Astyanax mexicanus: one gene and its partner. The protein of the gene in region 1 interacts with the protein of each later gene in a pairwise test. Links are inferred from orthologs where the notes say so. Each region holds a gene or a part of one and is shown on either strand. Other genes may lie near its edges.

Region 1 (17,071 bases):
TGAGCTAAGACCTGTCTCGACATTTGAAGTTTCTGTATTTCCATAGGAAATGTGTATGAATCTGAATGCAAAACACCTGCAGTAAAACACCTGTAGTAAAACATGACATAAAAAGTATTTACCTCTGATGAATAGCACACCTCCACTTTCCCACAGCGTTCCAAGATTTTGAAATTTTAACAGTTTGTCCAAACACACTTCAGACTGGGTGACACTGGGCATAATTTGCCCCGATTAATCATTTTTTACACCGTTATCCAGGCTCAAAGAAGCTCCACCCCATAGACATTATATATATGTCTATGTTTGAATGTAATGTGATGGTATATGTAAGTGATTACAATATTAGAGGACATGCTCTACTACCCTGTTAGGCACCTCTATACAAGATGATATGGATACAAGATGAGACACAGTGGAGCATGGAGGTAAACAGGTTCCGTACAGAATCCCGTTGCACATTTACCCAAAGATGTTCAAGCTGGGTCTGTAGACCCTGCAAAATTGTAGGTTGCTGAAGCTGGCGTCCCAGCTGGTCCTATTATTCTGTCGATTGGAAGAGTCAAGGAAGTATTACAGTCTGGCAGCAACATTCTTGGTAAACTCCTTCTGTGTGTGGACGAGCATTGTCCTGCTTAAAAATGCCCGTTGGAGTCCCTGTCATGAGAGGCAGCATATGTCTGGCCACTGCAATAAAAACAAAAATGGGTGCCCCTACTTCACTAGTGTTGGATGCAACACCAAACTTCACCTCTGTGGAATTCCCTGTTGACTTCTGCACCTTAATATAGAAGCTGAGCAGTACTGCTTGTTACCTAAAAACTTTTTTTTCTGTGATGCTGCCAATAGTGGCTATAAAGGTCTGTTTACATATGACATAATCATGCATTTTGAATTTGGACAGTATCTGGATATACTGTACTTTGACTGGATTTGTTTAGACTAGTCATTAAACTGTGTCACCAGTATGACTTATTGAGATCTGCTTGTATTATTGCGCTTATAAGGCACACCAACATGTATATCACACCGGTTTTATGTACAGTAAACAAAGGTTTCTCATCAAAATTGTCCTGCTCATTGCCAGTTCGAATCCTGTTCATGTAGCTTGCCATTGGTTAGCGGAGTCTTGCTCTCTCTGGGTGGATAGATGGTGCTCTCTCCCCACAACCCCTTTAAGGGTGATGTCTGCAGCCCAGGGCGTCTGTGAGCTGATGTATCAGAACTGAGTTGCTGCGCTTTCCTCTGAGCACGCTATGATGCTACTCGGCAATGCTGCATTAGCAGCAGTTTGAAAAGAGGTGGTGATTGACTTTACATGTATCAGAGGAGGCATTTGCTAGTCTTCACCCTCCTGGTGTTGAGGTATCAGAAGCGATATGGGGAGTTCTAATGTGTGGGTTGGGTAATTGGCTGCGTAAATTGGAGAAAATGGAAAAATTATTTTAAAAACTGTCCACCTCTGGGAGACAATTAACAATTTAGGTAACAGTGAAGGTTCTAACACATAATGGTGGAAGATGGTTCTCTTAGTCCTGTAATGGCTGTATTTTAGAAAATGTGACAGACTATTTAAATTGCATTTTAACTCTGAATTACTGCTCTTATTGCTCTTACTTAAATAAGCACACATGTGCACACGCACACACACATCAATTTTACTGTGTCAGACTTCGTTTGCTTATGGTAAGCAGCATGTTTTGGGGTTCAAACTGGCGATCTAGATCTAAAAAAAGGCTTAGCACTCCTCCACGTCATTGCGGTGTATGATGGCTGATTTGCACATCAACATCAAGCAAGTTCCAATTAATCACCATATACAGGTTCTGGCTCTTCCTTTTTCCCTAGAGCGTGATGCTTTCTGTATGGCTGCAACTTACTTATATTTTAGATATAGGACTTTTGTAGCGCATGGGATGACTGTCTTTGTCTTGTAAACCATTGGTCACCCCAACTCTGTTTTCCCGCCATGATCTTGAGACCCCAGAAGCTACCCCAGCTTGCAGGGATTACGTGAAGGGGCTTTCTGATGCCTTTGAGTTCGTTTTTTCAGGCAGAGCAAGCGGCATGGATAGAATGGGATTGTTAGTGCCTGGAGGGCTCCCAAGGAGGCACTTGGATTTAATCTGCACTGCCTGACGGTGAAGTGCAAACACACAGATGATATTCTAGACCTTTAACAGCTAAGGTAGGGGTGCACTTTCAGCTCCCTTTTTCATTTGCTGTTCACGCTGAGGCATTATGGTGTATTGCTCAAGACTATGGCAAGCTTTTAGCTTCTCAGTTTCATGGCCATCGCCAAGAATGAATAGCCGAGTCCCCTCTCTCTCAGGCCTGTTTAAGAGCACTCTGACACATGTACCCCCAGTATCACAGAAAGTATCCAGGACACGATCATATTATACGGCATGGCTCTGAGGTGGTTTCCCTCGAGCAAGAAGGTGATAACCACCAGCCCTCCACTTTCAGGTGGGGCATAGTTTGGCACCACAAGGAGTGAATGGGAACAGGTCCAGACCAGTAGCCTTACAGGACATAAATCAGCCTAAATCAGACTTACAAACTACTCACTGCCACTGAGTCACTTCTTGCCAATTCCAAAACACCACCACGAAGAGATAAGGTCAGACACTGTGGTCAGAATTTTCACATAAATCATCAAATGACTTTAAAGCATTTAATCCACTAAACTAAGCTTCAATATCATGTAGGCTTAAAGGGATACACTGCCTTAATGGCACGACAAGATTACACAACAATACAAAGTGGCATGATAGGTTTGTTCACAATTAAAGTTGAAAAAAAAATACATAGAAATAAAACATTATTAAAGGTATGAAAAAAAGTATAACATGTAAATCACATAGTACAAGAACAACATGAGGATGTGTTTTAACTTTTTGCTCTGGAAATCACAGAATATGCGTCTGGGATCTCCTGCATCGAATGTGGATGTCATTTCTGCCATAGTTGATTTGTTGTTTCCCCCGACGGCACTGTGGGTGGTAATGCCTTCTATGACATATTCCTGGTACACATATGCCACTGTGTATTGAGGACCGTGCTTCAACTACTATCAGACCTCGCTTCGACACCAATAAGTCACGTTGCCTAGCCATGAGGATGCTGACCAGTGCTTAACCTTACTCACAAGATCACCTTACAACCAGATGTGGGTGTACCCAAGGAAACACCTTATGAACATGTTACTTACTGCTATCCCATGACTTCTTGCTCGTGAAAAGGAGCCACGGGCCAAGATTTCCCACCAATTTCCTTGGGCCGGGTCAGGTGGGCTCAAGTAGTTAATTAATGTTAATTAACATAATTCTGAACAGATTTTGCTTATTAAAACAACATGAAAATGTTTTTAAATAGCTCAGTTTTAACGCTCTACTTACTAAAAAAATGTCAGGTTTGCCCAATCTAAGCTCTAGTTCTGTCACAGTATGGGGTTGTGGTAATACACATCGTGATGTACATAAACTTACATTAAGATCTTGGAGCAACATATTCTGCCTCCTAGACTTTTAAGGGACATCTCTGCATGCTTCAACAAGACAATGCTAAACCACATGATGCACATATTATAAAGGCATGACTATTGGAGAAGAGGGTCCGGGTACTGGACTGGGCTGCCTACAGTCCTGTCTCCAGTAAAGAATATGTTAGGAATATTGAAACAAATGCAAAAACAACAACCCCATATTTTTACACACGTTAAAAAGTGTTTGCAGAAAAACACACACATATATAAACACACAGACTCACCTTCTGTTACATGCATTCAGACACACATGGTTTCTGTGAAGAACTTGATGACCAATAAAGTTTTATTGGTAAACATACACAAATACACACATATAAATATAAGCAAACATAAGTGCAGATATGGAATGTGTTGAAACATGCCTGTAGCCTGCATAAAACAGACAACCAGTGCTAAATAGGGACAAACATTAGGTAAAGTAATTTAGGTAGGACCAGCAGTTTACAGTAATTTTCATCCTTTTAAATAAGGAAATCCTGCTGTTGACATGCGTCCTGTAATCAACAAGTGCAAGGGAGGGGGGTGACTGTTATGCATTTGTCATTACATAAGAGTCAAAACCAAGACTGTTAGTAGTCAAGTTCATGTCAAAACCAAGTATTTTGTAAAAAAAAAAAAAAAAAACATCCAGAAATTATTGTGTGTGAACACAATTCATCCTACAACATTTGCTGTATAATGCAAGTTAAAGATGCATCATACAAAGAAGTCATTTGTCAACATTATCCAGAAGCGCTGCAGTGCTGCATTTGATTAATCTGAGCACAGGATCATATGGAGATATGGTTTCATCTTTGCATGATACAGCTTTAACTTTCATTTCTGGATTTCAGCACATTGAGATATGTTCATATTTCACCATATGGTATCCTATTTCTTGGAAAGTACACCAGACAAAACATGTAGTATCTTGGGTAATTTCGCCTGCTAATCAAGACAGTAAACAACGGTGACTTTGCTAATGTTGTGCCAATAGTTACAAAGGTTTCTGGAAGTGTTCCTGAGCCCATGCAGTAATTTCCATTACAGAATCAGAATCAGTACAGCCTGTTTTAATGCAGTGCCAAGGATCACCAGCATCCAATAGTGACTGTTAGCTTTGTTCCTTGCACATTTCCCCAGATTATCTTTTGATGATATAATGTACTGTAGATGGTGGGATATCCAAAGTCTTCACAATTTTTTTGTGTAATTTCCTGTAAGTTTAGAAAGTAGACAGTTTTTGGTGCCGATATTTGATTTGAGAAACTCTGTGTCTCTAAAATAATCTTTTTATAGTCACTTTTTATAGTCACTTTATAGTCATGTCAGTAGTTGCAAACTGCCCATATTGCAGGAATGGATATTTATTAATAAATAAAATGAAGTTTAAAAAAAAACATAACATATCTCACGGTTATATTGTCTGCAAATAAATTAAATTTTAAGTAAATATTTAAATGTAGTTAATGCATTTTTATTTTATTTACATTTTCCTAACTGTTACAACTTTTCTGATTCAGGGTTGTACAATGGATCATGTGGTAAAAGTACATTCACCTATTTAATGATATTACAAACATTTTTAAGCACCCGAGACCGAGACATTAGCAATTCCAAAGAGGTTGAGATGAGACTGAGACCACCCTTTTATGGTTATAAGACTGGTCTTAAGGTCGAGACCATTTAACACTATTATATGACATAATATAAATAAAAGTTGTTCACTAATCAATGACCACACATTTTTTTGAATGTACCGTACCTGCAGTATGATGGATACTTGGCCCATATAACCCTTACGACACCCTATTTACACCTTCCAAGAAACCTGTTACTCAAATCTGTCCCCATGCCAGAGAGAGAGTGAGATACAAGGTGACAAGAGTCTATATTTGACTGGAGGTTAAAGTACAGTCAGCACAGATTTGTGTCTAAATCAGAAAGACGATACCGGGTTATACTGACTCACACATACTCATCCACTCGCATTAAAATCTATCAAATTACACTATGTCTTTTCATTGGATGACTGTGCAGCCAATCAGTGTTACATAAAATACAAGCATAGTCATTTGGCCCCTCCCTTTTTTCCATTAACCATATTGAGTGCTCCTCACTTACACAGCCCCATTGGCCTCATTGGCCTACATACAGTTGTGGATGGGGGTTTATGTATAATTATCATGCTCTGGCAATACTGCATAGCAACATTCATTAAAAAAAGACTTATATACATATGTTTGTGGGATTTTCTAAAGTCAACTCATTATTGGTATTAAACAACTAAATTCAATTACATTAGTTGTTTTATAGGCAAAAACCCACCCTTTAAGCGTTGGCCTCATATTTAGCTAAATTTAACTGAATTTGCTTTAGCAATTCCACAATCACTTCTGATATGTGTTTGGGGTCACTGTACTGAACATCCAATTTTGTACGCATTTTTAATTTCTGGCTAATTCTTTTGCAGGAAGTCCACCTACATCATTATTCCATCCAGTTTTTGCAATGTACCCGTTTTACTGGCAGAAAAGCAGCCCCAGAACATGATGCACCCACCCCCATGCTTAACAGCTGAAACAGTGCTCCTGCATTTAAATGCCTCACCTTTACTCCAAGTAACAAAACAAGACATATGTTGTCTCACATGAATATTAAACATGTCTCAAGATGTTGATTGTGGAGCAGAGGTTTCCATTTTGGACAGCAGCCGCTTAGTCCACAGTGATGTAAATCCAAACTGAAAGTACACTTTGACATCGTTTTTTACATAGTCTTGCACAGTACAACTAGCAGTGAAATTTAATTTATTTACAAATAGCAACATCAACCAACCTATTACCACAACAACCACACAGTAACACTTAGAAGTTTCCTTGTGCACTTTTCTAGTTATATAGTTTTGTAGTTATATTATTTCAAACTCTGCTTTTTAAAACTATAAAGAACCAGAAAAAAACTTAAATACTGATCATACTAAACACCTAGCAACCACTTGGAACACACTTGATACATCTGACACAACGTCTAATACATTATACAACCTGATGCAATGTCTTAGTTTTTTTACCGCTATAAGTTGTAGAATCATTCTGTCCCAGAAAAAGAACAGAACAAAGAAATCACTAAATGTCCAACATTGTCATGACATTAATGAACATGATGAATGCATATATTTTTCAACTGCTGGCTAAAACTGCTGTTAAAAATTCATATAGAGACAACATAAAATTATTGTGACCATTAATTAATTAGTCATTTGGAATTAATGTTTTGAAGCTCGATTTTTTTGTAGGAGATAAGCAAAGGTGTCAAAAGTATTTACTTTCATTACTCACGTAGAAGTATAGACAGTAGGGTTTAAAAATACTTCTGTATTTTATTCCAGCAAAAGTGTAAAAGTACTGCTTTTAAAACTACTTAAAGTACGAAAGTAAAAGTAATGTAAGCCAAAAAAAAGCCATTAAGGACAAAAGCTTAGGTTGCGCCACAGGAGCCTATAGTGCACTATCCCCCCCTCCCCAAAACACATTTTATAAAAGCCATAATGACCATAATGTTATACTAAAATGTTAATGTTGTTAAATTTGGGATGTCTCCCTGGTTCAGCTGCATATGTACTCATTGAAAATGAATATATTTTAATACAATGCAAATATATTAAAGAAGCTGAGTCTCCGCCACAGATCATCTTCATACTAGACTACATACATTTGCTACGTTCTTGCTGAAATATGAACTGACATGATGTGGAGGTGTGATGGATCGTATACAAACCAATAGGGGGTCAGTATGGTTATGTTTATACTTCTCTACATCCAACCACAATCAGATACACTCTATCTAGATGGAAAGTTTTATCTCAATGAAAACAAGCTGAAATGAAATAGGAGTAACAAGGCTATTTTTTAAAATGTAAGGAGTAGACGTGAAAAAGCCGTCTGAAAAGTAAGGTAACAAAGTATTTGTACTTCATTACTTGACACTTCATTGCTTGTCATTTTGTGGGCAGATAAAAAAAATCACTACCTGGAAGTAAATGATGTGGGGTTGATTCTGCAGTTGGTCAGGTCTAGGTTCAGCAACAGTATCTACTGAAAGAATGAGGTCAGCTGACTACCTGAATATACTGAATATAGACCAGGTTATTCCATCAATGTATTTTTTTCTTCCCTGATGACACGGACATATTCCAAGATGACAATGCCAGGATTCATGGCTCGGAATTGTGGAAGATTGGTTTAGGGAGCATGAGATCATCATTTTCACACATGAATTGTTCACCATAGAGTCCAGACCTTAACCTCATTGAGAATCTTTGGGATGTGCTGGAGAAGGTTTTGTGCAGCGGTCAGACTCTACCATCATCAATGCTGCAAGATCTTGGTTAAAATTGATGCAACACTGGATTAAATAAATCTTGTGACATTGCAGAAGCTTATCAAAACAATACAAACATAAAGGTGATCCAATGAATTATTAGTGTGTGAGCTTTTTTATAAGGTTCTTCCTCCAGAGGGGGCATGACATGTAAAAGTTTAGGAAACACTGATTTAGCATTAGTAGTGCTGCAGTAGCACATCTGACCTACAGAGGCGCTATTAAGCCATGTCTAAACACCACATAAACGTAAACTGGTCAGTTGCACAATGTTATATGTTTAACACAAAAACGTATTTTTAGCTAAAACAAACAAACAAATAACACATAGAAACTATCTATAATACTTGCCCTCAACATTCGTGCTGATGACTGTCTCCTAAGCCATCAAATAAGCCAGTAAAGCTGGGAAAACACATTCCTTGCTGGTAGCTGTTTCAACATAAAGGAAGGACTCGTTTCGCTGGGCTGAGTAACGCAGGTCATGCTGCTGCTGTTGTTGCTGCTGGTCGTGCTTATCTCCAGGAACGCGGGGGTGTATTTTTATTGACTCAAGGGAGGCAGCGCCCTGACTGCTGTGCTCGGGCACGCGCACCTGTGCGCGTCCCCGCGGACACAGTGTACGGACACTCCTCGCTCTGGCTCACCGTTTATTGTAACGAGAAAGCGAGAAAAAAACTGAGAAGGCCTAACCATCCAGTGTGACCTGATTAACATAAAGCTCTAACAAAAAAATAAGAGACCATATCAGTTTCTAAATCAGTTTCTCTGATAGGTATATATTTGAGTAAAATGAACACTGTTGTTTTATTCTATAAAATACTGACAACATTGCTCCCAAATCCCAAAGAAAAATATTGTCATTTACAGGATTTATTAGTAGAAATGAGAAATGGCTGAAATAACAAAAAAAGATGCAAAAAACAAAACAAGTACAAGTTGAATAACCCTGCTTTTTAGTCACAGTTTCATACATTTTGGCATTTACTCCTCCATCAGTCTTACACACTGCTTTTGGATAACTTTATGCCACTCCTGGTGCAAAAATTCAAGCCGTTCAGCTTGGTTTGATGGCTTGTGAGCATCCATCTTCTTCTTGATTTAAATTCCAGAGGTTTTCAATTTGGTAATATTAAAGTGTTTAAGTGATCTCTTATTTTTTTCTAGAGCTGTATGTTGGTATTATTAACAGTAGCAGTCATAAGTTTAGAGACACCTCTTCTCGTTCAATGTCTTTTTTATGATCTTGTACATTGTAAATTTATTACTGAAGGCATTAAACCTATACAGAAACAAAAAACAGAATATATTTTATACTTTAGATTCTACTAAATAGCACATTTAGCTTTGAGAACAGATCTGCATACTCTTGGTATTTTAATCTCAGTGTCTTCATGAGGTAGAGTCACCTGAAATATTTTTTTTTCTTAAAGGAGTTCCTGGAGATGCTAAACAATAGTTACTGCTTTTCCTTCATTTATTAAAATAATGCTACAGCCTGTCATTCAGCCATTGTTTAAACTGGAGTAAGAGAAGCTAGATGTTGGGCCACTGGTCGGTCTCACTCCTACTGGGATCTTACAGAAAGTCTATAGCTTTTTTGTTGTTGTAAAAAGGAGGCTGGCTTTACCTAAAACTCTGATCCTAGAATCGCCCCTGACCCCTGAACTATTGTTCCGGATGGCAACACCTTAGAACTTTCCTTGCACACTTTTCTAGTTATAAAGTTTTCTAGTTCCATTCTTTCGAACTCTGCGGTAAAAATACAAAGAACCAATAATAAAACTTTAAAACTGTTGTGAATTGTATATTTGTATTATGTATGCAAAATAAAAAAGAAAAAGAAAAGAAATACGAATGTGTAATGAATATAAAGCTGGAAATAGCCATTGTTTCTGATTTACAGTGGTGTGTACAACTTTGGGCACCCCTGATATTTTTTTTATGATTTTCCTTATAAATCATTGGTTGTTTGGATCAGCAGTTTTATATAAATATATAATATAGCAGATGAGCATAGTGATATTTGTGTAGTGAAATTAAGTTTATAGGATTTACAGAAAGTGTGCAATAATAATTATTTAAACAAAATGCATAAATTTGGGCACCCTTGTGGTTTTATTGATTTTAATACTTTTAGAACTAATTATTGGAACACAAAATGGAAATGTGGAATTGTTGGGCAAATTATTGGTATAACAAAAAATAAAAAGTTAAATAATCTTTCCTTTCAGTAGTAATAATTTGATGTTTTAATATATGTTAAGTTAATGGTTTATTGCCCATTACGTTACTATTGTTAATATTGTTTTTTTTTTTTTTTTTTTTTTTTTTTTTTAACATATCTGGGCTTACAGTGTAGTAACACTAGTGTTAGCTAGTAGCTGAGTTAGCAGACCGACCGTGGGTCAAAAACTATAATATAATATATACATAGGTAGACCACACCATCACGCGCGTGCACGTTGCTGGTTCAGACTAGTTAGGTACACAGCTGTAAACGCGCGCGCGACTCACCTCACATATCAATGAAGCGAGCGCTGAGCGGGAGCGCGCCTGGTCCGCGGCCACGACGAAGCTGAACTCCCGAACTCCCGAAGGAGCCCGAAGGAGCAGGACCGAAAATAAAGACAACATTTTCCCGGAAGTTTACCGACACCTGCGGCCGCGGAGCTCGGACATGGAGACGCTTCAGCTTTCAACACCTCAGTAACAGCAGGAGAGGAGCAGCCCGACTGACAGAACGGGGGAAACCCAGCCTCAGGTAACTTAGTTAACCCAGCGAGGGGGCTAGTTAACTAGCGTTGCTAGTGGTAACTAACTAGCCTAGCTAACCTAGCCTAGCGATAACTAGCGTTAACTGTTTCAACCGGTCCAAACTGAACTAAACCGAACTAAACAGCCCAGTTCTAGCTTATTTAAGCCAGTTAAGAGACTGAATTATACAACTTTTAACTTTTTAACTACAACCGAGCTCTAATTAAACCGTTAACGTTAAGCGTGTTCTGGTTTAAAGCGCTTTAAAGGGACCAGAGAGTAAATAAATCAGTGTTTAACGTTAGCTAGCTTTAGGTTAGCTCTTACTAACTAAGTTATTATCGTTATCCTAGCCGTGTATTAACTTAGCAGAGCAGGGAAGAGCCCAGCCCTCCTCGGCAACAGCTGTCTGATCCGGAGCGTGTGACAGGCAGCAGCGAAAAGGTGAAAAATATGAAAGATTTGTCAGCTTTTTATCGACTAGCTAATTAACTTTACTAAACTTGAAACCATCAGGCAACGTAAGTGGGAAGTATAACCTTAGTAGCCTGAGCAGTCTGATCAGACTGAAAATGAAACCTACTGCTGCCTCATTTCTCTCTTTCCCATGAGAGTTCTGGCTTGCAGTCTTGCGCTGTATGTGGGAAGCCACAAAATATTTCCCTTTTCACTCCATTAGCTAACTGCAGAGCCCCTAAGCTGACATCATGTTAAAAAAATAATGCGTGGCCATGACTTATTAAGGCATGGGAACGATATCCTTATGCGTAAGAATAAGATAATTAAGCAAGAGACTTATTAAGGCGTGGGAACTAGTTAATTAAGTTGTGTCCAGAGAATAATAAGCTTGCTTTTCTGTAAATTAAAGGAGAAGGTGTAAAATTTACTTGTGGTGTAGTAAAACATGATAGAGTACTGACCATTGTTTAATAGCCCACATCTGCTCTCCCCTCTCCCAGCTTTCCAAGATCCAGTATTTTGTGCTTTTTGCCCAGCACTCTTTACAAGAAGCTTATTAAAACCACCCGGAGATTAGGCTGTGCTAAGAGTTGGAAACAGTGTTTTTAATAAGCTTCTTGTTAATTTTTAAAGTTATAAATGCCTCCTTTTAAGTGTCAGAGCTCTGTGGATTCTACTATTGAGGTGTGGAGTAGGGGTGGGCGATATGGCCCTAAAATAATATCACGATATTTCATGATATTTTCGCGATAACGATACTCTTGGTGATATGACAAAACACTTAAAAATATTATTTTTAAAAATACACTATACACTGCAAGAAAATAAAAAAATATTTTATTATTACATACAATATAATACTGCACACCCCTAAGTGAGATATTAAAAAATACAAGAATTCTATCAGATTTGTAGCAGAAGTCAATGATCCAGAATGTCATGATACTAATAATAATGCACTCCAAATATCTCCATATATCCAGGATTAAAGTAAAATAAATGATACTGGACAGATATAAACTGTCTCTAGTAGATATATAATGGGAAATGGGATGGGTGATATGGCACGAAATTGTAGGGTATAATATCGTTCTCGATATTTAAAAGATTTGACGATATTATCGTGTACGATATGATATGGCACACCCCTAGTGTGGAGCCTGGATAACAGTGTAAAAGTGCTTTATCTGGATGCCCCAAAGCTCCCGTTGTAAAGAGTGCTTTTTGCCATTTCTGGGTCTCAGAAAGCTGCGGGAGAGCAGTGGTGGGCTATTCAGTAAAGGTTAGTAATCTTTATCATGTTTTACTACAACCAAAGTCAATTTTACACCAGAGTTCTCCTTTATTGCCTATGAGTCTCTTGCAGTGAGACAGGGCATAATTCTAAGTAAAGGACTTTTTTAATTCTCATACAAAAAGCTGACGGGCTTAGATGTAGACAGTATGCAGATTAATTTACCTTCCTTAAGCAGTTATATTGTGCACAACCCTTGAGAGCTGCTTGCTTTGTTAGCTGTAAAACAAAAGGAGGCCCCGCCTTAATGGCTATGATTTAATTAACTCATTGCCACACCTTAATAAGTTGTGGCTACACATTAGGATCTCATTCCCACGCCTTAATAAGTCATGGCCATGCATTATTTTTTTAACATGATTTTACCTTAGGGGCTCCATAGCTATAATTCAAATATGTATTCTGGTTATAATTTTAAATAGAGAAAAAAAACTGACATTGCCATATTTTGTTGAGCAGTAATTTGCAGTGATCGGCATCTAATAAAAATAATAGAGCTGTCAACATTAACATGTTAATGCATGCAATTAATCTAAAAAACTTTAACGCGTTAATATTTTGAACTAAATGAGTCATGTGACAAAATTGACAGAGCCTGGTGACGCATTTTATTTAGTGATATAACACAGCAACACTTACTGTTCAGTTAATAAGGTAGATTATATTTTATTTGTGGCGAAGTTTATTCTCTTTCTCTCTCCATCTCTCTCTCTCTGTATTTCTCTCTCACACACACAAACACACACAGCTGATGACAGGTTTCCTCTTTTCAAGCTGTTGAGTATGGAATGTATAATACAGTAAAAAAGGATCTAGTCTGCCAGGTGAATATCACACTACAGCATTGTTTTTGTTCCCGTCCCAAAAATACTGTTCAGTACCAATATGATAAATACAAATATCTTTTAAGGGATTGACACCAATGATACATATGTTTTAAGTGTTTCTACTGCTGTTTATTTTATTCACAATTCAATACACATTATCAAAAGCTTAGTCTTAAGCAAGAAAATGTGATTGTAATTGTGATTAATCACTGAATTATATTGTGGTTAACTTATTATTTATTTTAATCGATTGGCACACACACCTTCCCATTCAATGTGTTTTTTTCTCAATTTATTTATTTAATGTGTTAAATACACTGTATATTGATATTAAAGATATGGAATTATGTAGTAAACAAACAAAAAAATGTTTGGACTTCGCCTCCTATTGTTCAGCACCTCCAGGAACTCCTTCAAGACACTGAGAAAACTATTCCAGATGACTCTTCCTCGTGAAGACACTGAGATTAAAATACCAAGAGTGTGCAGATCTGCCAGTAAAGCAGAATGTGGTAAACATATTCTGGATTGTTTAACACTTTTAAATGTGTTCCTATGTAGTTTAAAGGTCTTCAATATAAAATGTACAGTCTAGCTAATGACATTGAATGTGTGTCCAAACTTTCGACTAGTACTGTATTTAAATTATGATGGGCAGATATAACAGGCATCTGGTACACACTACCTCTGCTAGTGAATGTTGAGCCTTTGAGAAAGTTGATGTTTGTCTAGCTGGAATTTTCTCTTTTGAGAAGATCATGGGTTTTGTTTCTGTGACTAATTAGAAATGTGAAAATGTTTTACAGCTAGTTAGGCATTTGCTTACTATGTACATAAATATGTATGCTATATTACACAATCAGAAGGATTTCAGTTGAGTACCGTAATGTGTGATTTATTTCACATTCAAGGTTTAAAACCAGGTGTAAGGATGATCTTGACTAATCTTAGCACAGCCTGCCTTTTACTACTGTGAGTGTTAAACTTCTTGCTTATTCAGTAGGGATTTAATGAGCGTACACTTAAACTATATGCCCAAATGTTATACACAGGAATGTTTGTTACAGATAAACATAAAACTATTGGCACCATGTATAATACCAGGCATTGGCTAGTAGAGGTGTGCCAAAAAATCGATTCACATAAGAATCTTGATTCTCATTTACTACGATTCAGAATCGATTTAAAATGTCCCAAAATCGATTCTGAGGGGCGGGTTTTAGACTGATTTTGGGCTGGGTATTTTTGTTGGACCTGGCAACCCTGGGGATAGCGCTTGTCCCTTTGGAGATCTTCCAGACACACACAGAGCGTAGGTGTTTGAGAATCACCGGTAAGATGGCAGAACAAGCACTATATTACCTTAGATTAACGTGTAGTTTCAATGTTTTATGGCAGAATGCTTCATAACAAGCATAAAAAAGATCGCTAGTAGTTAGTTTCAGTAACTGTTAGCTAGCTAACTAGCTAACTTTCCAGTTCCACCTTAAATAACGCTACAGGTGGCAGCGGGCTGCAGCATTTAAGGCGGAACGGAAAAATAACAATAAGCTAATCAGAGCTAATTTCAGCTCCTCATCACAGAGGAATTAAGGAATGGACAATATGAATTAATTTCTCCACCTCCTGCCCCCTTTCTGAAGAAATACAACCACCTTAAATTAACTAGTTAATCAGCAGCTGCTCCTGAACTTTAGCGCTCCACTGCTATCATCACATCAGCCCAGCAGCGTCACCTACACACCACCGCTAGTAGCCTGGTAATAAAGCAGTGTTATTTATTTATGTATTTATTGTTCATTAACGTCATTGTGATATCCCAGTGATTCCTCTGTCACTGAGGACCCACATTCCTGCACATTTTATTGTTTTTGTAACACATTACTTGCTCCAGGACCAGTGTATATTATGGAGGGTTTTTTTTCAATACGATTCATAAGCCAGAAGCAGAAATATTTATTATAATTCAAATCGTTTTGAATCAAAAATCGATTTTGAATCGAATCGTGGCCCCCAAAATCGGAATCGAATCGAATCGTGAGATAGTAATCGATTCCCACCCCTATTGGCTAGAGGGTTATAAAGCCCCCCAGTATTTAGCTGTGATGCACTGCAACTGTGTTCTCTGGAGTGATGGTAATTTTTGGGATGAGCTGGGGATGAGGTGGGTTGTAGCTCACCCATACTGGTGTTGCTGAATGTTATTCAATTTTTACAGCAAAGCTCCAAAATCTAGTTAAAAATTTTCTGAACAGTAGAGAAAGTTACTCCAACAAAAGTAATTTAATACCCTGGATTCGGAAGAAAAGATGAAAGATGCTGAGTCCCAAAACGTTTGTCCATATACAACCCCTGGCAAAAAGTATGGAATCACCAGTCTTGGATGAGCACTCCTTCAGACATTTCATTCTGTAAAACAAACTCTGATCAAAAACATGATACAATAATAAGGTCATTCCAAAGTGCAACTTGTTGGCTTTCAGGAACACTCAAAGAAATGAAGAAAAAACATTGTGGAAGTCAGTGAATGTTACTTTTATTGACCAACCACAGGGAAAAAAATATGGAATCACTCAATTCTGAGGAAAAAAGTATGGAATCATGAAAAACAGATAAACAAAAGATGATTCAAAATACATCACTAGTATTTAGTTGCACCACCTTTGGCTTTTATAACGGCTTTCAGTCTCTGAGGCATGGACTTGATGAGTGACAAACAGTATTCTGCATCAATTTGGTGCCAACTCTCTTTGATAGCAGTTGCCAGATCAGCTTTGCAGGTCGGAGCCTTCTTGTGGACCATTTTTTTCAATTTCCACCACAGGTTTTCAATTGGGTTGAGATCTGGACTATTTGCAGGCCATGACATTGACTGAATGTGTCTTTCTCCAAGGAATGCCTTCACTGTTTTTGCCCTATGGCACGATGCATTGTCATCTTGGAAAATTATTTCATTATCTCCAAACATCTGTTCAATTGAAGGGATGAGAAAACTGTCCAAAATGTCAATGTAAACTTGTGCATTGATAGAAGAATTAACCACAGTCATCTCCCCAGTGCCTTTGCCTGACATGCAGCCCCATATCATCAAGGACTGTGGAAATTTGGTTGTTTTCTTCAGACAGGCCTCATCATAAATCTCACTGGAACGGCACCAAACAAAAGTTCCAGCATCATCACCTTGTCCAATGCAGATTCTTGACTCATCACTGAAGATAACTTTCATCCAGTCATCCACAGTCCATGATTGCCTCTCCTTAGCCAACTGCAGTCTTGTTCTTTTATGTTTAGGTGTCAATGATGGTTTTCTTTTAGCTTTCCTGTATTGAAATCCCATTTCCTTTAGGCGATTTCTTACGGTTCGGTCACATACATTGGCTCCAGCTTCTTCCCATTTATGCTTCATCTGTTTAGTTGTACTTTTTCGGTTTTCAAGACAAATGGCCTTAAGTTGCTTGTCTTGACGCCTTGATGTCTTTCTCGGTCTACCAGTACGCTTGGCTTTAACAACCATTCCATGCTGTTTGTATTTGGTCCATATCTTGGATACAGCTGACTGTGAACAGCCCACATCTTTAGCAACCATGCGTGAAGAGTTACCTTCTTCAAGAAGTTTCACAATCCTCTCTTTTGTTTCAAGAGACATTTCTCTTGTTGGAGCCATGGTTCTTGCCACTCTAATTCGTCCAGCAGCCCTCCAAGGTGTCATGACTGCAGGTGTTTTAAACTGCAGACTAACGAGCAGATCTAATCTGAGGCAGGTGTCCATTTAGGGAAAGGAAATTGACTGGGTGTGTCCTTATTTTCTACCTTCAATTTGAG
Region 2 (16,814 bases), on another chromosome or scaffold:
TATAGAGTTATTATTATTATTAATATTATTAGCATTGTAATATAGTGGTATATTTACTACTATTTGTTAATTCCGCAGAGTAAAACACAGCAGTATAGAGTTATTATTATTATTAATATTGTTAATATTAGCATTGTAATATAGTGGTATATTGTAATATCGTGGTAAATTTACTACTAGTTGTTGATTCCGCAGAGTAAAACACAGCAGTGTAGAGTTATTATGGTTTTAACCACTTCTGACACCAATTTTTATGATACTGTGTCTTTTTTTTTAATGTATATAGTATATTGTGAAAATGACTTTAAATATTATTATTATTATTATTATAAGCATTAGCATTGTAATATAGCGGTATTTTGAAATATAGTGGTATATTTATTACTATTTGTTGATTCTGCAGAGTAAAACACAGCAGTGTAGAGTTATTATGGTTTTTAACCACTTCTGACACCAATTTTTACGTTACTGTGTCTTTTTTCCTGTATATAGTATATTGTGAAAATGACTTTAAATATTATTATTATTATTATTATTATTATTATTATTATTATTATTATTAATATTAGCATTGTAATATAGCGGTATATTGAAATATTGTGGTATATCTACTGCTATTTGTTAATTCCGCAGAGTGAAACACAGCAGTGCAGAGTTATTATTATTAATATTGTTAATATTAGCATTGTAATAAAGTGGTATATTGTAATAAAGTGGTATATTGTAATATTGTGGTATTTTTACTACTATTTGTTGATTTCGCAGAGTAAAACACAGCAGTATAGAGTTATTATTATTAGCATTAGCGTTGTAATATAGCAGTATTTTGAAATATTATGGTATATTTATTACTATTTGTTGATTCTGCAGAGTAAAACACAGCAGTGTAGAGTTATTATGGTTTTAACCACTTCTGACACCAATTTTTACGATACTGTGTCTTGTTTTATGTATATAGTATATTGTGAAAATGACTAAATATTATTATTATTATTATTATTATTATTATTATTAGCATTAGCATTAGCATTGTAATATAGCGGTATTTTGAAATATAGTGATATATTTATTACTGTTTGTTGTTCTGCAGGGTAAAACACATCAGTATGGAGATTATTATTAATGTTATTATAGTGTTTCCGGTCTCTCCGGTTTTAATGGAGTTGGTATTTCAGTATCCAGGTTAGGCCGAGCCGCAGGATCCCGCATCCTCCATCCTCTGAAAGCAGCTCGGCTCTCCTCGCCAGCCGGCTGCCAAAACGCGGGCGCAGCCGCTCGGCCCCAGCATGCAAAGGGTGAAGCTTTTAGGCAATGAGCAGCAGGTGATCTAAGCTTTTCTGCAAGTCCTAATGCTCCTAAAAGCCACTCTCCCAGCTCCTGTAATTGGGCATCAGTAGTTAATGTAGTATTGACTGCATTACATGCTCCTGTGCATCCTCTCCCCGCTAATGCCATTTGCATCACCTTGTACATTTCCCATATTGCTTAGCCAATAGCTGTTAAAAGCAATCCCAATCATGAATCATATAGCCAACTTTTAGCAAGACGGACGTCCAGAGGAGACAATTTACAGTTGAGTTAATCCGAGTACATTAGCACAACATGTATTCAGCCAGACAGACCAATTTATGCCTCTATGGCCATCCCTTTATTGGTTTTCAAATGGGTTAGTGAAAGGATGCTCGGCTCAAAGAGATATGAAATATCCATTTTCAAACATAAATAATGGCTCTGAAATGAAAGCCATTACTTGGAGGGAAAAGGGCCCCTAGCTACCATGTGGGCGATGACAATATTCCATGAAAGATGACAAGAATAGCCCATTTCGGGTCAGAGGGGCTTTTTAATAGCGAGTTCTGCGCTGTGGTAAGGAAGCCCCCCAACGTGGGACTGAGGTGGAGGTTCGTATGTTTGTACCGGAAGTTTTTAGATGGACCAGAAGACTCTTAAAGCACGATCCCATCCTTTTTATCACAATAATGCAGCAATAATGTGGTGCATTGACTATGTATTGGCGTACCTATACATATATATGTGGGTAGAGGTTCATATGTATGTAGTTTTAGTTTTTAAGTCTTGAGATTCTCTAAAAGCATGATCCCAAACTCTTTATTAGAGTAAAGTTGCAATGTGGTATACTGACCATGTATTTGAGTATTTATACATATATACAGTATGTGTAAGGTATATATATGTAAATATTTAAAGATAGATTGTAAGAATAGCCCATTTCGGGTCAGAGGGGCTTTTTAATAGCGAGTTCTGCGCTGTGGTAAGGAAGCCCCCCAACGTGGGACTGAGGTGGAGGTTCGTATGTTTGTACCGGAAGTTTTTGGACGGACCAAAAGACTCTAAAAGCACGATCCCAACCTTTTTATTACAATAATGCAGCAATAATGTGGTGCATTGACTATGTATTGGCGTACCTATACGGTAGAGGTTCGTATGTATGTAGTTTTAGTTTTTTAAGTCTTAAGATTCTCTAAAAGCATGGTCCCATTCTTTTTATTACAATAATGCAGAAATAATGTGGTGCCTTCACTATGTCTTGGCGTATTTATACATATATATGTGGGTAGAGGTTCATATGTATGTAGTTTTAGTTTTTAAGTCTTAAGATTCTCTAAAAGCATGATCCCAACCTTTTTATTACAATAATGCAGCAATAATGTGGTGCCTTCACTATGTATTGGCGTACCTATACATATACATATATATACATGTGGGTAGAGGTTCATATGTATGTAGTTTTAGTTTTTAAGTCTAAAGATTCCCAACCTCTTTATTGCAGTAAAGTTGCAAGGTGGTATATTGACTATGTATTTGAGTATTTATACAAATTTACAGTATGTGAAAGGAATATATATATATGTAAATATTTAAAGAAAGATTGTAAGAATAGCCCATTTCGGGTCAGAGGGGCTTTTTAATAGCGAGTTCTGCGCTGTGTTAAGGAGGTGGAGGTTCGTATGTTTGTACTGGATGTTTTTAGATGGAATAAAAAGACTCTAAAAGCACGATCCCATCCTTTTGATTACAAAAATGCAGCAATAATGTGGTGCATTGATTAGGTATTGGCGTACCTATATATACATATATATATATATATATATATATATATATATGTGTGTGGGTAGAGGTTCATATGTATGTAGTTTTAGTTTTTAAGTCTTAAGATTCTCTAAAAGCATGATCCCAACCTCCTAACTACAACACTGCTGAACAAAATAGTTACATAATCTTAATTTAGATTCAATCACAGCACAGATAATACAGCATTGTTTTAAGGTTGTTTTACATATTGTTTTCCAAAAATCACAAAATGCTGTAAAATCGTAGCCTCAACCTCCTCCAATAATACAGAAATAAGATGGTATATTGACTATGTATTGGGATATTTATATATGTATAACAGTGTGAAATATATATATATATATATATATATATATATATATATATATATATATGTATATATTTGAAGAAAGATGGTAAGAATAGCCCATTTCGGGGCAGAGTTCTGAGCTGCGTTAAGAAAAGCCCCAAGTCCAGTAGAAATGCAGAACTAAGACTATTTAGCAGCTCATCAGGTATCCAGAAAATACACAATAACACTGTTCAACATTTACAGTTACGTCCAAAAAGCGTAATTACAAGGTCTGCGTAAGGTGATCCTAAATATTTAATCTTGAAAAGACTCTAAAAGCGTGATTGCAAGCTCTTGCAATTAAAACTATTTGCTAGAACGTTGTCTTAAAGTAGTGCTGAATATTTTCTCGAAAGTTTAAAAAAAGTTTTAAAAGCATTGTCCCAAGCTCTTTACAGCTGTGGAAAAAAAATAAATCACTTAAAATTTATGAGTTTCTTTGATTTTACCAAATTGAAAATCTCTAGAATATAATCAAGAGGAAGATGGATGATCACAAACCATCAAACCACCAAACTGAACTGCTTGAATTTCTGCACCAGGAGTAAAGCAGCATAAAGTTATCCAAAAGCAGTGTGTAAGACTGGTGGAGGAGAACATGATGCCAAGATGCATGAAAAAAAACTGTGATTAAAAACATTTTTTGTTATTTCAGACATTTTTCATTTGTCTGCATATTAATGCTCTAAATGCTCTAAATAACAATATTTCTATTTGGAATTTGGGAGAAATGTTGTCTGTAGTTTATAGAATAAAACAACAATGTTCATTTTACTCAAACATAAACCTATAAATAGCAAAATCAGAGAAAGCGATTCAGAAACTGAAGTGCTCTCTTCATTTTTTCTTTTTCAGAGCTGTATATATATATTTAAAGAAAGATGACAGGAATAGAGCGGTTTGGGTCAGAGAGGCTTCATGTTAGCGAATTCCTGGCTCTGTAAGACGTCCTTAGACTTTGTTTTTGGGCTTGTAAAGTTTTTTTAATGTGGCAGATGTGTTGCTTGTGTTCTTAAACACTACATCTGTACTCTGTATTTGTGTAGTTGTGTTTCTTTTACAGCAGAAAGGCAGAATCAGGATCATTCAACAGCCACCCAGCAAACACGCAACACTGCCACAACACCGTCTACATCAAGACACAACACTAACAACTCTTAGTGAGATAATTTGGGTGGAAAAAATGCAAACAAAAAAAATAAACATAGAGTAACATTAGCGGCATTTAGCGAGTGATCTTTCCAACTTGAACACGACTTGAAGGCAGCATAACTGTACAGGTTTTGTAGTATTTAATAACTAGTAGTAACTAGGAAATTAGGAAATGACTTTAGAAGTTGTAACTTTAGTTACGCAAGCTTGGTGCAACCAAGCCCAGCTCTCAGGGAAAAAACTATAGTTTTTTCCCTGAGTACTATGTACTATGTAGAACCGTGTACTACGTACTTATGAGTCATAACACCACAGCAACCCCTTCAGCACTTCAGCTATTTAGCTATTTGTCCAATGCCGCGCACCGTAGTTACACTTTGGGTGCTGTGTTTCCACGGAGATTCACGTAAAAAAAACACAACAGCGAGTGGAAATGGAGGAGCTACTGAACACCGTGATGTCATGTGACCGAGAAAAAAGCCTAAAATCTCACTGGTCCTCCTGTTTTTTTCAATTGCAGTCCGGATGCAGGAGTTTTATCACTGAGTAGAAGTTAGAAATATATTTTTACAGACGTCCCCCCGAAAAAACTAATCCCGTCCAGATAGGGCTTTAGTAGAAACATTAAACAAAAACAACACTTGTACAGAAATCCTGTCTTAGCCTACGACTTGCAATCTACAAAGTACTTATGAGATATAAAGTTGTAGCCCATAAGTAACTCAAACTTCTGAGGCTTGCAAAACGGTGATGTCCCGAGGTGAAAGCATGGAAAACGGTACTCACGGTACTATTTCTAAGTACTGTCATGACTTATAAATATTATATTACCGTATTTACAATATTTTTTAATTATTGCACATGAACACTTTTCACGTTTCCGATTAAAACAACTCTTAAACAGAAAACATGGCATTATAAGTATGCAAACTTCTAAGGCTTGACTTGAAGCCAGTATAAGTCAAAGTCGAGCTTTTAATGCTGTTTTTAAAAGCTGTTTTGATGTTTTAATCGTAATAAAATAGATTAGACCAGATTCTGTTCTTTCTATTGGTTCTATCCAACAGCAGCGGGGTGAGGTAGGTTCTCCAGCATCTCCTCAAGCTTCAAAAAGTCCGACAAAAGTAGACTAAGCGCTCCGGCTCGAGGGGAAGACCGAGAAAAACGGCGATCTCCCGCGGTGAAAGCACGGAAACGGTACTATGTGTTACCATGTATTATACCGCGTATCAACCACTTAAGCATTTAAAGCACTTAAAGCACTTCAGTACCGGAGCACGCTCGCCCTACTTATGCTACTATGGTCCTACTATAGTGCTAGTATAGTCCCAGTGGTCCAGTAGAGTACCGGTACTCACCCTCCTCCTTGTCTAGCACCATCGTCCTGAGGAACGAGGGGTCCGGCTCCAGGCGCTCCGTTCTCGGCTCCAGCAGGCTGCGGGGCTCCGGCGGCGCGCGGGACTGAATGATGCGTTAACGGGGGGCGTCAAAAAACGCAGGCTCGGAGTGGCGGTGCCTTATTTACAGTGGCGGACACCCATGTGTGGAGGCTCGCGCGGTGGACACGCGACCGACCGACCGCCAAACACGAGCGCCTTGCCCGTTACTCCGTCCGTCCGTTCGCTTGCTCGCTCGTTCGTTTTTTCGTTCGTCCGTCCGTACGCTTGCACTATACGTGTACTACGCACGCTCGCGCTCGGTGTGCGTTCCCTCCGTGCGTTCTCTCCGTGTTCTCGGTGCTCTCTCTCCCCGGTTCGGTTCGGCTTTGCTCGGCTCGGTTCGGCTCTTCTCGGCGGCGGATCGCTCCGTATTATTATCCTCCTCCTCTGGAGCGCGCGCGAGTTACGCTACGTGTTTTACGGGTCGCCGTCAACGTTGTTTCGTTACGCTGTTTGTCGCCACAATGTATCACGCGCGTCCGCACGCTCACATCCGCGCGCGCTCTCTCTATAGGCTCCACCAACTGCGAGAGAGTGGTGAGCGCGAGCGCGAGTAATGAATAAATAGAATGAGATAAGTAACGTTAAGGGGAAGAGGAGGAGGAGGAGGAGGAGGAGGAGGAGGGCGCGTGCGCACAGTGTAGCCAGCGCAGAGAACAGCGTAACAGCGTAGCGTAACGGAGAAATAGATAGGGAAATAAAAGAGAAAATAAAGAAGAAGAAGAAGAAGAAGAAGAAGAAGAAAAATAAATAAATCCTCTTTGGGGAAATAAGTCGTAAAAGAAGAAAAGAGAGGAAAAAAGAATCAGTAGAAAAACAACGCGAATGAAAACACGAGGACACAGTCGTTAAAGAAGAGAGGAGAGGAGGAGAGAATAGCGTAAAAAACGCAAAACAAAACAAACGCGAAAAAAATATATAACAAAAAAAACGGGAAGAAATCGCGAAAAATGAAAGAAAAGTGCTTAAAAAGAGGACAAAAAATATATGTATTTAAAAAGGAATCAGCCTTGCGAAGAAAATGCAACAAAAAATAAACAACGCAAAAACAAACCCGAATAAAGAAGAATAAAGAAGAAAATATGCGCTTTAAAAACAAAATAAAGAATAACGAATAGAGAATAAGCCTGTATATAACGTAATTACGCTATTCTTTTGTAGTTGTTTTTTTTTTTTTTTTTTTTTGTTTTTGTTGTTGTTGTTTTTAAACAAACCCGTACTTCTACACGCGGCTCCGAGCAGTTCCCGAGCGTTTCCGCAGCTCGCGCGACTACGCGATTATTATTATATTATTATACTACGTCTTAGCTAAGAAATCTGAATAATACGAATATGAATACGAATAAGAAGCATCATCATCATTATCAGCAGCAGAAGAAGAACAAGAAGAAGCAAAAGCAGCAGAAATCCAGAGCAGTGTTGAAGCGGACGGCGGTTCGCTAAACGCACGCGTGCTCGCGCCCCCAATTTATGCGCTCGGGCTCGCTGAATAAACGCGCGCGCTCGCTCGCTCTCGTTCTCTCTCTTCCCAGAGACCCGCGGATTCCCCTGTTAATTAAATCAATTCATTATGCTCAGATCTGATTAGCGCCCCCCTCCATCCCCCTCCCTCTTTGAATCAATTATTCAATACACAAACATAATTGCTTGTGCCAGAGGTGTCTAAGTATTAGCTTATTTAACTCCAAGGACACTAATTACCCCTAGGGCAAGGGAACTTTTCTCATTAATTCTGACAAAACACAAAAGCACAGCTAAGGGAAAGTGTGTGTGTGCGTGCGCGCGAGTGCGTGTGTGTGTGTGTGTGCTCGCGCGCCTGAGCGTGCGCCTGAGTAAGTGAGTGAGTAGTCTACGCTGAGTGTTTATGTGGGGGGTGCACAACATCATGGTGAGGGGAGGGGCTGGGAGTGAGTGAGTGAATGAGCATAGAGAGAAAGAGAGAGAGATAAATAGTGAGACCTAAGATTCCTTCACTAAACAAGCAAACAGAGCAAAAAGACAAAAAATGATTAAAAAAAAATAATATACAGTACTGTGCAAAAGCTTTAGGCACCAAAGCAAATGACACTAATTCATTTATCTCAGCAATACGAGTGTTTTTACCTGAAAAAAGCACCACATATGATTTAAAACAGATGCAAATAAACATAAATACAGTAAAACTTATTAAGGAATTCTCATTTTTAACTAAGTTGTAAGTATGTTATATCCTGTGAGCCGAGCTGAAGAACAAAGTGTAGAGATCCAGATTTCTCCTGGATGCTCCTCAGCCAGCATGTGTATATTATGTTCAGTTCCGTCAGCAGCTCACCTGATTTACCACATTTACCAGTAATTTACCACGTTGTTGATTAATATGATGAGAACTAGAAATAACTCTATTAAACTCAGATGAGGAGGAGAGATTAGGAGATGTTTTGTTGTTTTAAGGAAAACTTTTGCTTTTTGTAAAATTGCTGTTTGTATTTATTGTAATGCTGGTGTTTTACCGAGTTAATGAAGAAATGATTGGTTCAGCAAAGATAAATTAATAAAGTTTACTAAAATAAATGATTTATTCAGCAAAGATAAATTAAGTAAAGTTTACTAAAAGAAAGGATTGACTTGAAGTTCAGTTCACTTATTTACTCTGTGTAACATTTAAGTCTTAAAACCGAGTTGAAGCTACTTAAATTTATCTGAAATTAAATTTACTTAAAAAAAGCAAATGAAGAAAGTTGTGAAACTTTTTTTAAGTAAATTTTACTCATAATTTTTTTTCAGTGTAAGCTAATGCTAAGCTAATGCTAAGGTAAAGCAAGCTACTCCAACCTAACCACAGGTGCAGCTAGCCTGCTAGCTAGCTAAGCTAACCAACACCACCCAGCAAACAAATAGAAACCCTGGTGAAAAAATATATACTTAATTGTCCTTAGAACATATTGAGAAATGTCTAACGTATAATATAAATATACTAACAGATTTATGTACTTACTTAAAATATATGAAAAGTGCATATATATACAAAAGTACATAAGTACAATATAATGTATTTTAAATAAATAGAATACTATGAAGTAGACTTTTAGTTTAATGTAATACATATATATATATATATATATATATATATATATATATATATATATATAGATAGATAGATAGATAGATATATTCACTCTGATGAACAGTCATTGGTCGAGACAGACAGGTCCAGCAGATGGGCGGTGTTTTGATTAGCGGGGAGATAGCATGCTCCGCTAATATGATTGTTAGCTGCTTTGTCTGTGATGAAAGTGTTGCTGTTTAAGCGGCGGTGCTTTTTCCCTGCCCCGAGGAGACTTTTAACCAATTACAGAGGAGATCCGACCAAGATTAACTAATAGAGGAGATGCAGAAGGTTTCCCAAGTGCTCTGTTTGTCAGCAGGAGAAGATCTGCTGTACAATCTGTTATTTACAGCGCTGTGGAGGATCTGACCAGCATTCTGCCTGTAGTATTAATACTAATTACAAAATACTAGTGCATCTCAAAAAATGAGAGTATTATTGAAAAGTTACTACATTTCAGTAATTCAGTTTAAAACGTGAAACTCATATATTATATAGATGTATTAAACACAGAGTGATCTATTTTAAGCCTTTACTTATTTTATTGTTGATGATTATGAATTACAGCCAATGAAAACCTAAAAATCAGTGTCTCAGAAAATTAGAATATTATATAAGATTAATTGGTATGTATGTAAATCTGCATCTCCATAAACCATCACTGACTGGTGGAAATTTCCCACTAGACCTCAAGCAGCTTGGACTGTGTGTCATATAGTGTGTATAATGTATATAGTAAGTGTGCAGCAGGATGTGTATAAACTATATACTGTAGAGTATATAGTGTTTATAGTATTTATAGCATATAGTGTTTATAGTACTTATTGTATATAGTGTAGAGCATATAGTGTTTATAGTACTTATTGTATATAGTGTAGAGCATATAGTGTTTATAGTACTTATTGTATATAGTGTAGAGCATATAGTGTTTATAGTACTTATTGTATATAGTGTAGAGCATATAGTGTTTATAGTACTTATTGTATATAGTGTAGAGCATATAGTGTTTAGTACTTATTGTATATAGTGTAGAGTATATAGTGTAGATTATATTGTGTATAGTGTATATAATGTATAGTGTAGATTATATATTATAGAGTATATAGTGCATATATTGTATATAGTGTATATATATAGTAAATGTGCAGCAGGATGTGTATATAGTATATGGTGTATGTAGTATATGGTGTATGTAGTATATAGTGTATGTAGTATATAGTGTATGTAGCATATAGTGTATATAGTATATAGTGTATGTAGTATATAGTGTATATAGTATATAGTGTATATAGTATATAGTGTATGTAGTATATAGTGTATGTGTAGTAAATATGCTGCAGGATGTGTATATAATATATAGTGTAGAGTATATGGTGTATGTAGTATATAGTGTATGTAGCATATAGTGTATGTAGCATATAGTGTATGTAGCATATAGTGTATGTAGCATATAGTGTATATAGTATATAGTGTATGTAGTATATAGTGTATATAGTATATAGTGTATGTAGTATATAGTGTATATAGTATATAGTGTATATAGTGTATGTAGTATATAGTGTATGTAGTATATAGTGTATATAGTGTATGTAGCATATAGTGTATGTAGTATATAGTGTATATAGTATATAGTGTATGTAGTATATAGTGTATGTAGTATATAGTGTATGTAGCATATAGTGTATATAGTATATAGTGTATATAGTGTATGTAGTATATAGTGTATATAGTGTATGTAGTATATAGTGTATGTAGTATATAGTGTATATAGTGTATGTAGTATATAGTGTATGTAGTATATAGTGTATGTAGCATATAGTGTATATAGTATATAGTGTATATAGTGTATGTAGTATATAGTGTATATAGTGTATGTAGTATATAGTGTATGTAGTATATAGTGTATATAGTGTATGTAGTATATAGTGTATATAGTGTATGTAGTATATAGTGTATATAGTGTATGTAGTATATAGTGTATGTAGTATATAGTGTATGTAGTATATAGTGTATGTAGCATATAGTGTATGTAGCATATAGTGTATATAGTATATAGTGTATATAGTATATAGTGTATGTTGTATATATTGTATATAAATATATATATATATATATATATATATATATATATATATATTAAATGTGAGGATGTTGAGAGCTCACAGGGATACAGGGCTGGACTGTAATCAATTGTTTGATGTTTCTCTCTGACAAGTCTGACTTTTCATTTCTGGAGTCTGAAAGATTGAACGCTTTTTGAGTGGAATGTATGTTTGCTGACCTCTAGCTGAAGTGAATGACACACAATTAATCCAATCACAGCGCAGCGGACAGACCGTGGCTCTGTGCCATCAGAAGCTGAATGCTGTGAAAGCTCTCAAAGATCTGAATGCAAATATAAAATATAAAAATATAAAGTTATTATAAAAAATAAACGTAGATAAGCTAATCATTATTGAAAACTATATTGTCAAATAAATAATCGCAATAATTAATATTTTTGTCATTTTAAGACACTCTGCATTTTATGTCAATAATATAATTAACTATGTTTTATTGGCCAAATATATATTTATTTATTGATATAATAGCGCAGTAACGCAATTACTATTCATATCAGGATAATATCTATATATTGTCCAAAAAACTGATATTATTGTAATTTTAGGACAATACATGTTTTCCACTGACATACTGATAATATAATAGCACACTGATGCAATTACACCCTTTTAAAAACACTTTTTATATGTTTTTGGATTTCCACTTAGGTCTCTACTGCCCCTATAAACATAATAAACTCTCCAAACACCAAAAAACTCATTCTGCTGTTTTCTGTGAATATAATGAAAGGGTAGTTGGAATGAAATTATTCTTCATTGCAGACAGTACACAGCAGGATTAGCCAGTAGACTTCGTCTGAGTGAGGAATCTGTACCTACTGTCTGTTGCGAGTCATCAGACGAGGGAGATGTAAGAGCTTTCTAATAGTTCTGAGTTCAAATTTTTGTGCTTCTATCACAGTTAAGCATGTGCTAGCTTGTTTGTGTTTTACTATTTAGCTACACAAGCTAACGCTAACATGTGGTAAAGGCACAGCATAAATGACACTAATGCCATTATTTATAAGAATATTTTACCACTGGTTTCAATTTAAAACAACAAAATCTAAGAGATTGGTGCTTTGAAGGTTTGAATAAAATTTAATTGAAAAAAAGAAAGGGGTAATTTTGGAGGGGCGCTGAGTGATGTATGGGTTTAGGGGCAGGGCAGAAGGGAGAGCAGATTGGGCTGAGCAATGTGCTTTTGATAGCGTTTTGATAGTGCAGTATTAGTGCTTGTTTGATTTGCATATTGTGAGTATCCTTGTACCAAAGTGACCACAATAAAAACATTTTTTGAAAGGTTAAGAAATGTCCTATTAAATAAAATACCACCATATCAAATTAAAATTAAAGCACTGTTTCTAAGCTAAATTGACACAGACATTGGGTATACTTTAATAGGCAGTACTTGTTAAATGCAATGAAGCAACATGATAAATTGATATATTACATTTAATAAGGAAAGACTGGCCAGGTCAATGTCCACATCCATCTCCAGGACTGACCACTGCTGGCCATCTAATTCACCAGGTAGCCACTGTCATTCCTGAGTGACAGGTGAGCTATAAGCCTGAACCGGTGTTCATCATTGGTCCTCAGCATCAAGGTCATGTCATCTGGAGCTCCATAGCACTGACCCCCTACCCGTCCGGATCTTACTGGGAATATAAATTACTCTCAGCCCGGTGCTGTGATACGGATCATGCCTTTTTCCTATGGTCAACCAACAATGGAACTCTCTATTGTTTCTGCATTATGAGAACGGGCCTAGATTACACCCCTGCTGTACCTCATACCAATCCCAGAACAGGCCAAGATCACACCCCTTCTGTACGCCAAACCAATCCCAAAACAGACCAAGGTCACACTCCTACTGTACCCCAAACCAATCCCAAAAACGAGACAAGATCACACCCCTACTGTACCACAAACCAATCCCAGAACAAGCCAAAATCACACCCCTACTGTACCCCAAAAAATTCAAGAATGAGCCAAGATCACACCCCTACTGCACCCCAAACCAATCACAGAACAAGAACAGGCCAAGATCACACCCCTGCTGTACCCCAAACCAACCCCAGAACAGGCCAAGATCACACCCCTGCTGTACCCCAAACCAATCCCAGAACAGGCCAAGATCAAACCCCTACTGTACCCCAAACCAATCCCAAAAACGAGACAAGATCACACCCCTACTGTACCACAAACCAATCCCAAAAACGAGACAAGATCACACCCCTACTGTACCCCAAATCAATCCCATCCGATGCGATGGTGACCTGGAGACAGTAGAACAGGCCGTACGCCTGGAAGTTAATTAATATTCATTTCTGATAGCCCCATCTATTTACCGCCGCGGCTCAAACGCAGCCGGCACAAAACCGCGGTGCAGTAATTAACCCCACCTAATCAGATGGAGCGACGGTGTTGTGTTCTCATTCATCCTCCGGCAAACGATCAGCGGATGGAGGACTCGGCGAGAGGATGAACCCCAGCCCCTCCTATATTTCATAATGCTTAAGCTGATTATAAACCAATGTCAAACATGCTCTTTTTCTGACTGCGTTCAACTGAAAGTGCTCCTTTATGTACGGGGAGGTGGAGGCGGCGGAGGGGGTGATCCGGGTGGAGGTGGAGCGGAGGGAGGGAGCAGTACTGTTTAAGGGCCTCATAATCTGTTTTGATGATATCTGGCTAAATTAGATAAATGATAAATGATGGGTTTTATCAAACATCAAAAAAAAACTTTAAAAGTCCTCATTGTTGAAATTGTATTTGGTGTAGTATAAATTAGTAGTAATCCACGTCTGATATTCACCATCAGTGTGTAGTCGATCCCCTGTAATTTCTGTGGGTAAGGTACACTTGTAGATTATATATTATGATTAAGGTGGTACTATTTAAAGGGTGTCATTATCTGTTTTGAAAACATATGGCTAAATGAGATAAATAGAACATTTTGGATCATTATTTGGTATAGTTAAATTTCATAAATTTAATTTCATATATATTTTTTATTTAATTGTTTTATTTATTTTTATTTATATTAAATTATAGTAAGTCAATATAGAGTTCAAGCTTCCATTTCTGATATTTACCGTCAGTGTGTAGTTGATCCCCCGTGATTACATTAGGTGAATTTGTAGATTATACATTATGATTAAGTTTGTACCATTTGAAGGGCCTCATAATCTGTTTTGATGATATCTGGCTAAATTAGGTAAATGATAGATGATGTTTTTATCAAACATCAATACATCAAAATGCTTTAAAAGTCTAATTCTTGAATCTTTATTTCAGCATTTCATTATTCGGTACAGTAGAAATCAGTAGTGTTCAGTTTTTGATATTCACCGTTACCTATACTATGATATAAAGGAGAGCTCTGGTGTAAAATTGATTTTGTTGTATTAAAACATGATAAAAAGTTCTTACCTTTGTTGAAAGCACACCTCCGCTCTCCTGCAGCTTCCTGAGATCAAGTAATTTTGTGCTTTTTTGCCCAACATTCTGCACAACGGCCGTATCGGGCATGCAACTATTTATTTGCCCCTGCAGATAAATCGTTTTTTCCACCGTTATCCAGCTCAAAGTAGCTCAACACCTTCTTGCTAGAATCTGGAGAGCCCTGACATTTAAAACGAGTCATTAATAACTTTAATAGTGCAGCAGCTTTTAAAAAAAACACTGTTTACATCCCATAATGCTTATTTCAGCTCCGAGCGCCGCCATCACTGTACTGATAATGACATAGACATATATATATATACATAGACTCTACATAGGCTGCCACGTTATGTGGCAGTCTATGTATATATATATGTCTGTGTCATTAGCAGTACAGTGATGGCGGCTCCTGGAGCTGAAATAAGCATTATGGGATGTAAACAGTGTTTTTTAATAAGCTTCTTGTGCACTTTTTAATCTGTTTTGATCATATCTGGCTAAATAAAATAAATAAATGTTTTATCAAATGTCAATAAAATGCTTTAAAAGTCTTCATTTTTTAAGCATTAATTGAGCATTTCAATATTTGGTACAGAAGAAAACAGAAGTACTTCCATTTCTGATTTAATAACCTTCAGTGTGTAGTCGATCCCCCAGGATTACTTTAGGTACACTTGTAGATTGTATATCAAAGATATATGGCTAAAGAAGATAAATAATGATTTCATCAAACATCCATTAAAAGTCATCGTGCTTGGAGCAATTTTTGGAGCATTATTAGGTACATTAAAAATCAATAGTATTTCCGTGTGTTTTTATTTATTTAATTTCCAGTTGATGCAGAACATTAACACTTTTTATTTTATTTGTATTATTTTTATTTATTTATTATATTATAATAGGACAAGATTAAGAACACTACGTCAAAATAGAGTCCAACCTTCTGTTTCTGATATTCACCGTCAGTGTGTAGTCGATCCCTCGTGATTACCTCAGGTACACTTATAGATGATATATTATGATTAAGGGGGGGGGGGCACAATTTGAATGGTCCCATAATTAGTTTTGATTCTATCTGGGTAAATGAAATAAATTATGGTTTCATCAAACATCAATAAAAAGCTTAAAAGTCCTCAGGATTTTGGAGCATTATTTGGTATGGTAGAAATCAGTAATTTTTTAAATGTAATTTCATTTATTTTATTTCTGTCTCATGGAGAATCTTAAATATATATTTTTAAGTAGATTTTTTTTATGTATATGTATATGTATAGTAAGGCAAGCTCAAGCACTTATTCTTACAGCATTATTTGATATAGTACTATTCTGTAGTATTTTCTTGGACTTGTATGTTTTTATTTAATATATGATATATGATATATATGATATATTATATTAAGACAAGCTCAAGAACTTTTACGGTGGTAAAACAATATAAAAAATACATATACTGTAGATAAACTGAGTCAAAATGTAGTAGTCGATGCCCAAGAATACCTTAGGTACACTTTATATACAGTACAGGCCAAAAGTTTGGACACACCTTCTCTTTTTCAGTGTGTTTTCTTTATTTTCATGACTGTTTACATTGTAGATTCTCACTGAAGCATCAAAACTATGAATGAACACATGTGGAGTTTTATGTGCTTAACAAAAAAAGTGAAATAACTGAAAAAACATATTTTATATTCTAGTTTCTTCAAAATAGAAAATAGCCACCCTTTGCTCTGATTACTGCTTTGCACACTCTTGGCATCATTCTCTCAATGAGCTTTAAGAGGTGGCCACCTGAAATGAAAAGTTTTCCAACAGTCTTGAAGGAAGGAAGGAGTTCCCAGAGGTGTTTATTAGCACTTGTTGCTCCTTTGCCTTCTTCACTCTGTGCTCCAGCTCACCCCAAACCTCAAATCTGGATTGGGTTCAGGTCCGGTGACTGTGGAGGTTCAGCTCATTATTTATTAAGTACATAAAACTCCACATGTGTTCATTCATAGTTTTGATGCTTCAGTGAGAATCTACAATGTATATAGTCATGAAAAAAAAAAAATATATATATATACATTATATAATCTAGATAGATATAGATTATATAGTGTGATTATCTCCCTGGCCTTGATGATGGTGTAGGCTCCAATCTAATCTATAATTATTTCAAATGCATG

Evidence for each region.
Region 2: the proteins of ptpn3 (region 1) and lmo1 interact in binary tests that used the Homo sapiens proteins (3 or more experiments, as listed by UniProt). The two-hybrid records come from large-scale screens. The link is inferred for Astyanax mexicanus from reciprocal best matches to the Homo sapiens genes PTPN3 and LMO1.

The regions. Positions count from the first base shown.
Region 1 is NC_064408.1:109,496,756-109,513,826, forward strand, and holds the start of ptpn3 (tyrosine-protein phosphatase non-receptor type 3), read left to right. Parts: upstream 1-10,428; 5' UTR 10,429-10,676; intron 10,677-17,071.
Region 2 is NC_064423.1:41,020,340-41,037,153, forward strand, and holds the start of lmo1 (rhombotin-1), read right to left. Parts: upstream 7,528-16,814; 5' UTR 5,957-7,527; coding exon 5,935-5,956; intron 1-5,934. UniProt on the Homo sapiens protein: May be involved in gene regulation within neural lineage cells potentially by direct DNA binding or by binding to other transcription factors.